2 linked regions of the Ovis aries genome follow. The protein of the gene in region 1 purifies or fractionates together with the protein of each later gene. This does not show direct contact. Links are inferred from orthologs where the notes say so. Each region holds a gene or a part of one and is shown on either strand. Other genes may lie near its edges. The genes, in order: FASLG and SNX9.

Evidence for each region.
Region 2: the proteins of FASLG (region 1) and SNX9 purify together in Homo sapiens (co-immunoprecipitation; 3 studies listed by BioGRID and IntAct, with this or other methods). This does not show direct contact. The link is inferred for Ovis aries from reciprocal best matches to the Homo sapiens genes FASLG and SNX9.

Annotation. Positions count from the first base shown.
Region 1 is NC_056065.1:39,430,974-39,435,239, forward strand, and holds the start of FASLG (tumor necrosis factor ligand superfamily member 6), read left to right. Parts: upstream 1-1,429; 5' UTR 1,430-1,639; coding exon 1,640-1,975; intron 1,976-3,061; coding exon 3,062-3,107; intron 3,108-4,266. UniProt on the Homo sapiens protein: Cytokine that binds to TNFRSF6/FAS, a receptor that transduces the apoptotic signal into cells. Involved in cytotoxic T-cell-mediated apoptosis, natural killer cell-mediated apoptosis and in T-cell development.
Region 2 is NC_056061.1:82,210,375-82,214,184, reverse strand, and holds part of SNX9 (sorting nexin-9), read right to left. Parts: intron 2,483-3,810; coding exon 2,408-2,482; intron 1,130-2,407; coding exon 1,004-1,129; intron 1-1,003. UniProt on the Homo sapiens protein: Involved in endocytosis and intracellular vesicle trafficking, both during interphase and at the end of mitosis. Required for efficient progress through mitosis and cytokinesis. Required for normal formation of the cleavage furrow at the end of mitosis.

The sequences.
Region 1 (4,266 bases):
GGAAACACAGTGGAGGGTGTGCAAGCCAGGCAGCCTGGCACACCCATGTCCTGACCTTGAGAGCTGCAACAGTGGCCCAACTCCAGCTGACTGGGTTTGCAGACAGGGCCTCCAGACTGCCCAATATTCTAGTGTTTCAAAACCCAATATGACTATAACATATATGGACTATCCCAATTTTTCTGAATGGCCTACACAACAAAAGTTTATTTTCTCAGTTCTGGATGATAGAAGTCCACGATCAAAGAGTCAGTAGGGCTGGTTTCTCCTGAGTCCTCTTTTCATGGTTTACAGATAACCACCTTCTTGCTGTGTGCTCACTTGGCCTTTTCTGTGTACATATGCCTCCCTGCTGTCTCTACCGCTTCTTCTTTTTTTCAGGAAGTATTTATTTCTTTATTTTTGGCTATGCTGGCTCCTTGTCAGTGTGTGGGCTTTGTCTAGTTGTAGACAAGCATGGGCTTCTCATTGCCGTGACTTCTCTCTTTGTAGAGCATGGGCTCTAGGGAACGTGGGTTCAGTGGTTGCAGCTGTAGGGCTTAGTTGCCCCATGCCATGTGGGATCTTCCTAGAGCAAGAATGGAATATGTGTCCCCTGCATTGCAAGGCAGATTCTCAACCATTGGACCACCAAGGGAGCCCTCTACCTCTTCTTATAAGGACATTAATCATGTTGGATTAGGGTCCCACTCAGACTACCTCATTTAACCTTAATTACACCTTAAAGGCATTATCTCCAAATACAATTACACTGGGGATTGGGATTCGGTGCTTACACTTTGGAAGAACACTATTCAGTCCATAACAGCAGTCCACTGTGAGTCTCAACGGTAATCTTTTGCCCCAGGCATCTGTGGTTGGTTTATCTTGTGCTTTTCTGGCCTAAGTTTTAGACTCAGCAAAACAGAGATGAATGTCTGCATTATGGACTATCCCGTTTTTTGAGGAGGACGGTAAATAGAAATAAACAACATTGTAAGGCACAAGCAAAGCAGGTCTGAGGGCTCTGTGAGGCATATGGCCACTGGTTTGCAATCTCTGATCTATTATAGAGTAGGCAGGCAAGTTTGTAACCTGTAAACTACGGTGCTTTGCTGTGTCAGGGTAAACAGTACTTGGGTGTGGGGGAGGGATGGCAGCAGGGGGTGATTCCCTCCTGCCAAAGGTAAGACCCAGAAGTGACTCCTCTGGCCGTGACTCGGTGCTTTCGCCCCACAGGCCACTCTCCTTGTAGCTGAACAGCGGCCGGAGCCTACAGAGCTGCGCTGACGCTACCCCCGTCTCAGGGCCTGAGGACAACGAGCCCACCCTACCAGCCTTTCAGGGAGCAGGGCAGCAGCGACTGGGGTTTTGAAAGCTTTCATCAGAAAGTTGTGGGCGGAAACTTCCGGGGGTTTGCTCTGAGCTTCTTGAAGCTTCTCAGGTTCAGATGCAGAGTGAGTGGGTGTCTCTTTGAGAAGCAGAAAGAGAGAACGAAAGAGAGGTGTTTCCCTTGGTTCTGGAAACTCTATAAAGAGAGAACCGGCTTCCTTCTCATGAGCAGTCAGAAATAGGAGTCCGGCCCTTGACACCTGGGCCTCCGCACGACTGAGGAAGAGGAAAACCCTTGGCTGGGGGCTGGCCTGAGGCACTGGATACCATGCAGCAGCCCTTGAATTACCCATACCCCTCAATCTTCTGGGTGGACAGCAGTGCCAGCTCCCCCTGGGCCTCTCCAGGATCAGTCTTCCCCTGTCCGTCCTCAGTGCCAGGAAGGCCGGGGCAAAGGAGGCCACCACCACCGCCACCCCCAACACTACCGCCATCGCCACCCCTGCCTCCACTACCGCCACCACCTCTGAAGAAGAGGAGGGGCCACAACACAGGCCTGTGTCTCCTTGTGGTGTTTTTCATGGTTCTGGTGGCCCTGGTTGGACTGGGGCTGGGGATATTTCAGCTCTTCCATCTGCAGAAGGAGTTGGCCGAACTCAGAGAGGTAAGCTGCCTGGGGGATTGCCGCACCCTGGAATGTGCGGAGGTGGGGGATGGGGTGAAACTGCCCTGCTGCAGTGGGGGAGGAGGGCGACAGAAATCCACATGGACCACACTTGGCTTGCAGCATACTTCTCAATCCTTTCTTCCTGTCTTAGAAATGAATCACGCTAGCCATCCTGTTCTGCCTGCAGAGAAATGGGGGCTCAAATGGGTGGAAGGAATATTTTCTATCTTGGGAGGGATCAGGATCAAATCAGGACTGGCAGATGATCAGTTGGCTGATCATCTGAGAGAGGAAGAACTCTGCTACCTACCTCATACTCGATTCAAGAAAGAAAAGGGACTTGGCATCTGAGAAGTGAATTTGTTCAAATGCACAAACTAAATTTCCTTGAAAGTGCTTAAAATTATTAGAACTATTTCAAATCACAAAACTGAGGCATGGACAGGCACAATTGCTTGGCCAGAGTCTGAGTTAGGAGAGGTTCTGGGTGCTTAGATTCCCTTTCCAGTGCTTAGTTTATTTGACAGTTCTTCTTCCTTTGCTTAAAGAACTTCATCAGTTCAGTCGCTCAGTCGTGTCCGACTCTTTGCGACCCCATGAATTGCAGCACGTGAGGCCTCCCTGTCCATCACCAACTCCTGGAGTTCACTCAGGCTCACATCCATTGAGTCAGTGATGCCATCCAGCCATCTCATCCTCTGTCGTCCCCTTCTCCTCCTGCCCCCAATCCCTCCCAGCATCAAAGTCTTTTCCAGTGAGTCAACTCTTCTCATGAGGTGGCCAAAGTACTGGAATTTCAGCTGTAGCATCATTCCTTCCAAAGAAATCCCAGGGCTGATCTCCTTCAAAGTGGACTGGTTGGATCTCCTTGCAGTCCAAGGGACTCTCAAGAGTCTTCTCCAACATCACAGTTCAAAAGCATCAGTTCTTCGGCGCTCAGCCTTCTTCACAGTCCAACTCTCACATCCGTACATGACTACTGCAAAAACCATAGCCTTGACTAGACGGACCTTAGTCGGCAAAGTAATGTCTCTGCTTTTGAATGTGCTATCTAGTTATTATGTATCTTTTCTCTTTTGCCAGTCCACCAGCCAGAGGCATACAGCATCATCTGTGGAGAAGCAAATAGGTGAGTTTTTTTATGCTTGCACGTTGAGTTTCTAAAAACAGTCCTCAGCACCAACCATGTTGGAGGAGTACCTTGAATTCCACCTTATTCTTAGGCATATATAGACTATAGAAGAGAAATCCTAACCAATTCTGAAATCTCTTGTCATTTTGGTTCTTGAAACTGCCCTAAAATATGAAGTGAGTTTAACTGTTCAAAATTAGTTAAGTATCACAGAAAAATTCAAAACTAATTTCTGCTTGAATTTGGAAAGAGAAACACAGATGTACAACCCTGGACCTTTGCCCACCCCCCACACCCCAAGCAGCTGGCTCCAGGCCTGCCCCCTTCCTCAGGCCTCCTGATTCCCATGTACAGGGCGGTGGCTATAGCTCCTCAGGAGAGAAGGGAAGGTGCAGACAGACACAGCTGTTGCTGGGAAAGATCCTTGCTCTCCTATTTAATCTCTGTACTCTTGCCTGGAAAATCCCATGGATGGAGGAGCCTGGTAGGCTGCAGTCCATGGGGTCGCTAAGCGGACATGACTGAGTGACTTCACTTTCACCTTTCGCTTTCATGCATTGGAGAAGGAAATGGCAACCCACTCCAGTGTTCTTGCCTGGAGAATCCCAGGGATGGGGGAGCCTGGTTGGCTGCCATCTATAGGGTCACACGTAGTCGGACATGACTGAAGTGACTTAGCAATAGCAAAAAAAAAAAAAAAAAATTACTTAAGAGTCAGACCTGATTTAAAATTTTAATAGGTTATATTTAAGCTTTTAAAGAGTGGGCAACCAGTCATCCACATTAGGGTGGTTCTTTTGCAGCCGCTGGAAAGCTTGGAGGAAGACGTTAGGCATTTTACAGAGGGTAGTCCCACTTCACTCAGAGACAATCATGCGCTGCTTTTGATAATAAAGGGAAATCCTCTGTGTGAAATTCAGGACAGGAAGATGACAATGTTGAACATCGGCCTCCTAAAGTTTCAGGACATAGTTTTGGAAACTGTGGATTTAGAATACTCGTTAAACTAAGATGGAAAGGAGGTTAGAGAACATCTGGTCCAGTCTTCTCACCTTTCAGAAGAGAAGCAAAACACCAGATGGATTAGTAATGTCCCCAAGACCTCTGCTGTGGAATGGGGCTGAGAAGGAGCTCAGGCTCCTGATGCCTTGCCACC
Region 2 (3,810 bases), on another chromosome or scaffold:
ATTTCTAAAGAGGTAGGAAGTAGTAACATTTTCAGATCCGTCTTCTCAATTTTCTTGTTGACGCTGGCTCTGGATAATCATTTAGCAATAACTGAACCAGGCCAAAGTACTGGAGCTTCGGCTTCAGTATCAGCCCTTTGAAAAAATATTCAGGGTTGATTTCCTTTAGGATTGACTGGTTTGATCTCCTTGCTGTCCAAGCTCCAATACTTTGGCTACTTGATGTGAAGAACTGATTCATTAGAAAAGGCCTTGATACTGGGAAAGATTGAAGGCAGGAGGAGAAGGGGACGACAGAGGATGAGATGGTTGGATGACAGTACCAACTCAATGGACACGAGTTTGAGTAAGCTCCAGGAGTTGGTGATGGACAGGGAAGCCTGGCGTGCTGCAGTCCATGGGATCACAAAGAGTCATTCAGACATGACTGAGTGACTGAACTGAACTGAGTCAGGTAGTCACCTAAATTGGTCAAATTCATTAAAATTAATATTAAAGTTTCAGTACATTTTTCTCAAATTATCCCGCTTTTCCAAGTTTTCTAGAAGCAGTACAGTAACAGTACCAACTACTGGCTCTGCAGCTGCCTTCCCGTGCGCTGCACCTGCAAGAGGGGGGGCTCACGCCGGACGCGCAAGTCACGGGCCACGGCCACAGAGTCGTGTCCTGTTCCAGCCAGAGTTCTGACACTGACCCCAGAGGACCCTTTTCCTTCCTCGCCCTCGCTTGCAAGGATATTCCCAGTTTATCGGGTCTGTGTTCAACATGCCAGACTTTTACTAGCAACTCTCAATGAACACCCTGCCTTCTCACTAATAATCAGTGCTATAAAAATAGTCTGCAGCAGGCTTAAGAGGCAAGGTCTTTGTTAGAACCCAGCAAAAGAACGCCACACACACACCTAACAGCTATTTTGTCCGTGCTCTCAGGGAATGGCAAGGGCCCGGCACGTCACCAGCTCTCGCACGCGTGCTTTGCTCTGTCGAGCCAGAGTACGGCTTACCTGGTTGCTGCTCTTGGTGGCCGATGCATCGGCGTGGGCTGCACTTGCTGACAGGGAGTCGAGGAAGGCTTGGTCAGCCACTGAATTTCCACACGCAAACTGATCTTTTCCATCACTCGGCAAAATCTGAACATAAGGAAGGACCACAGTTACTTACTTTCATAGACTATAGAGTTATTTCTGAGGTAGAACCCCTGATGGCAAGTAAGAACTATCAAAAGGTTTCTATTCTTAAAAGGTATGAGCTCAAGAACAACTGCCCTAACGATTCCTTTCTGCAAGTGTGCGGAATTCTTTAGAAAAACACAACTAATACCAGGATCAGCTTATCACATTTTTCTCATTCTTGTCAGTTTTTAGGATCCTAAATGCACAGTGTACAGAGGTCGAACATAACATGAGATGCGTGGGTTCGGGATCTGTGAATCCTCTGATAGGGTCTGGAAAGGTGGGGTGCCTGCCCGTGCACATGTCGGGCTGGCCAAAGAGTTCATTCAGGTTTTTCCAGAAAAGATGTTCTAGAAAAACCCAAACAAACTTTCTGGCCAACCCAACATTTCAGCAATATCATCAGTATTCTCCAGAGCGCTCAAAATTCCCCACTGAACTCAGTCAGGAAAACAGCCAGCCTTCCCATTTTGCAGGCAGCGCCCAGCACACACCCTCCCAGGGCACGTGCTCTCTCTACTGGACGGAAACCCAAGGCAACTCTGCTCCTGAGCTACACTCCAGTTTTATTCACAGGCTACCAGGCAGCCTCAGTTTCTTGCTGTCACCCGGGATGAGAGAAGCAGGCTCACCATGGACCCAGGGCTCCGTTCTGCGTGACCTACGGACAGCCAGCAGGGGGCGCCGCGAGGCTGACTCAGAGAGCCTTGGTCAGCTGGGTGGGGTGTGTCCCCACAGCATCCTCAGCATTTATCACAACAGAGCTTACACCCCGCAACAGCTCACTCCAGACCCTGGGCCTTGGAGAATGGGAGAAGGAACTGACGGAGAGGCCCTAGATTAGCACAGGGAGGAGACAGTGACCTTAGAGTCTGCTGCCTAAACTCTGTGAGTCCACTCTACAGTACACAGTATGGTAGGCAGCAGCTACGACAGTGTCAGCAACGGAAAACAGAGACTTTTATTCTGAACAACTAAAAGTTGCTATCCTTGGAAGGAACTTCAGCTAAGCATTTGGAGTCACTCTTTGGCGTGTAAGTCTGTAGGTAATATTTCTTCTTGGTTCTACTTCAGTGAATTTTCTACATTTTATATAATCAGCAAGTATTATTTTTACAATGGAATTTTTTCATTAAACATAAAGTTATCTTTCATTCTTGTTATTTAAGTTGATAATTCGTAAAAACGCATATGACAAAGACCAGGTTTAATTAATAAACAAGAATAAATTCTTACCTCAACATAGTCTGTTGGAACAAGCCCTCTTTCTCCTTTGCTGTTTCTTCCTTCCAGCCATCCTCCACCAACATCCTCAAAAAGGTTAAAAAGAAAAAAAAGAGTATAGTTGGAATTTCCTGCAGAAACTTGGCTCTGGGAATTGTTATCCATAAAAAAGGTTATTAACATTAACCCATTAACCTTTTCATTCCCATGGGGCTAACGCTGTTAAAAATGTCAAATTCTTAAGCTTTCTCTTTATGCCAGAAAAGGATATAATTTAAAAATGAGAAAAATCAAACTTCAACAATAATTGATCAGAGAGAGAGAAACAGAATGCCAAGATTTTGTAATTTCCTTCTGTTGACTGGTCTGTGGTAGACTACACAAATGGTTTGCAGCTCCGACTGTCAAGGGACAGAATGCACCCTCATTTCCAGAACCTGCGCTATCCTTTGTGACCTCTTCAGCCAACAGACTGAGGTGGAGATAACACAGGGTGAATACAGAGCTGGCCTCGAGAGGCTCTGCACACTTCAGCTCACTGGTTTTTTTCCCCCAAAAGAGCTGGATATTTGGGTTGCCAGATGATGACAGAGACAAGGCTCCGTCTCCCTGTTGGCCGACCCAAAGCCAGCCGACCCCCAGCAGGAGAAATGCCAGACAGAGGAGGTCATGATGGCCTGCTCTGCCCTCGTGCCCTGCTGGGCGATGCAGGCCCATGGGTGACCCCAGGTCAGGAGAACCACCTGGCTGGCTTGTGGATCCCCAAGCAACAACAACTGACTATTTGTTTAAGCCACTAAGCTTTGGGACTGCCTGTTATTTAGGAAAACTAACTGACACAATGGGGCCCACTGGAGAAGGGAGTGGCAAGCCACTTCAGTTTTCTTGCCTTGAGAACCCCATGAACAGTATGAAAAGGCAAAATGATAGGATACTGAAAGAGGAACTCCCCAGGTGAGTAGGTGCCCAATATGCTACTGGAGATCAGTGGAGAAATAACTCCAGAAAGAATGAAGGGATGGAGCCAAAGAAAAAACAACACCCAGTTGTGGATGTGACTGGTGATAGAAGCAAGGTCCGATGCTGTAAAGAGCAATATTGCATAGGAACCTGGAATGGCAGGTCCATGCATCAAGGCAAATTGGAAGTGGTCAAACAGGAGATGGCAAGAGTGAACGTTCACATTCTAGGAATCAGCGAACTAAAATGGACTGGAATGGGTGAATTTAACTCAGATGACCATTATATCTACTACTGAGGGCAGGAATCCCTCAGAAGAAATGGAGTAGCCATCATGGTCAACAAAAGAGTCCGAAATGCAGTACTGGGATGCAATCTCAAAAACGACAGAATGATCTCTGTTCGTTTCCAAGGCAAACCATTCAGTATCACAGTAATCCAAGTCTATGCCCCAA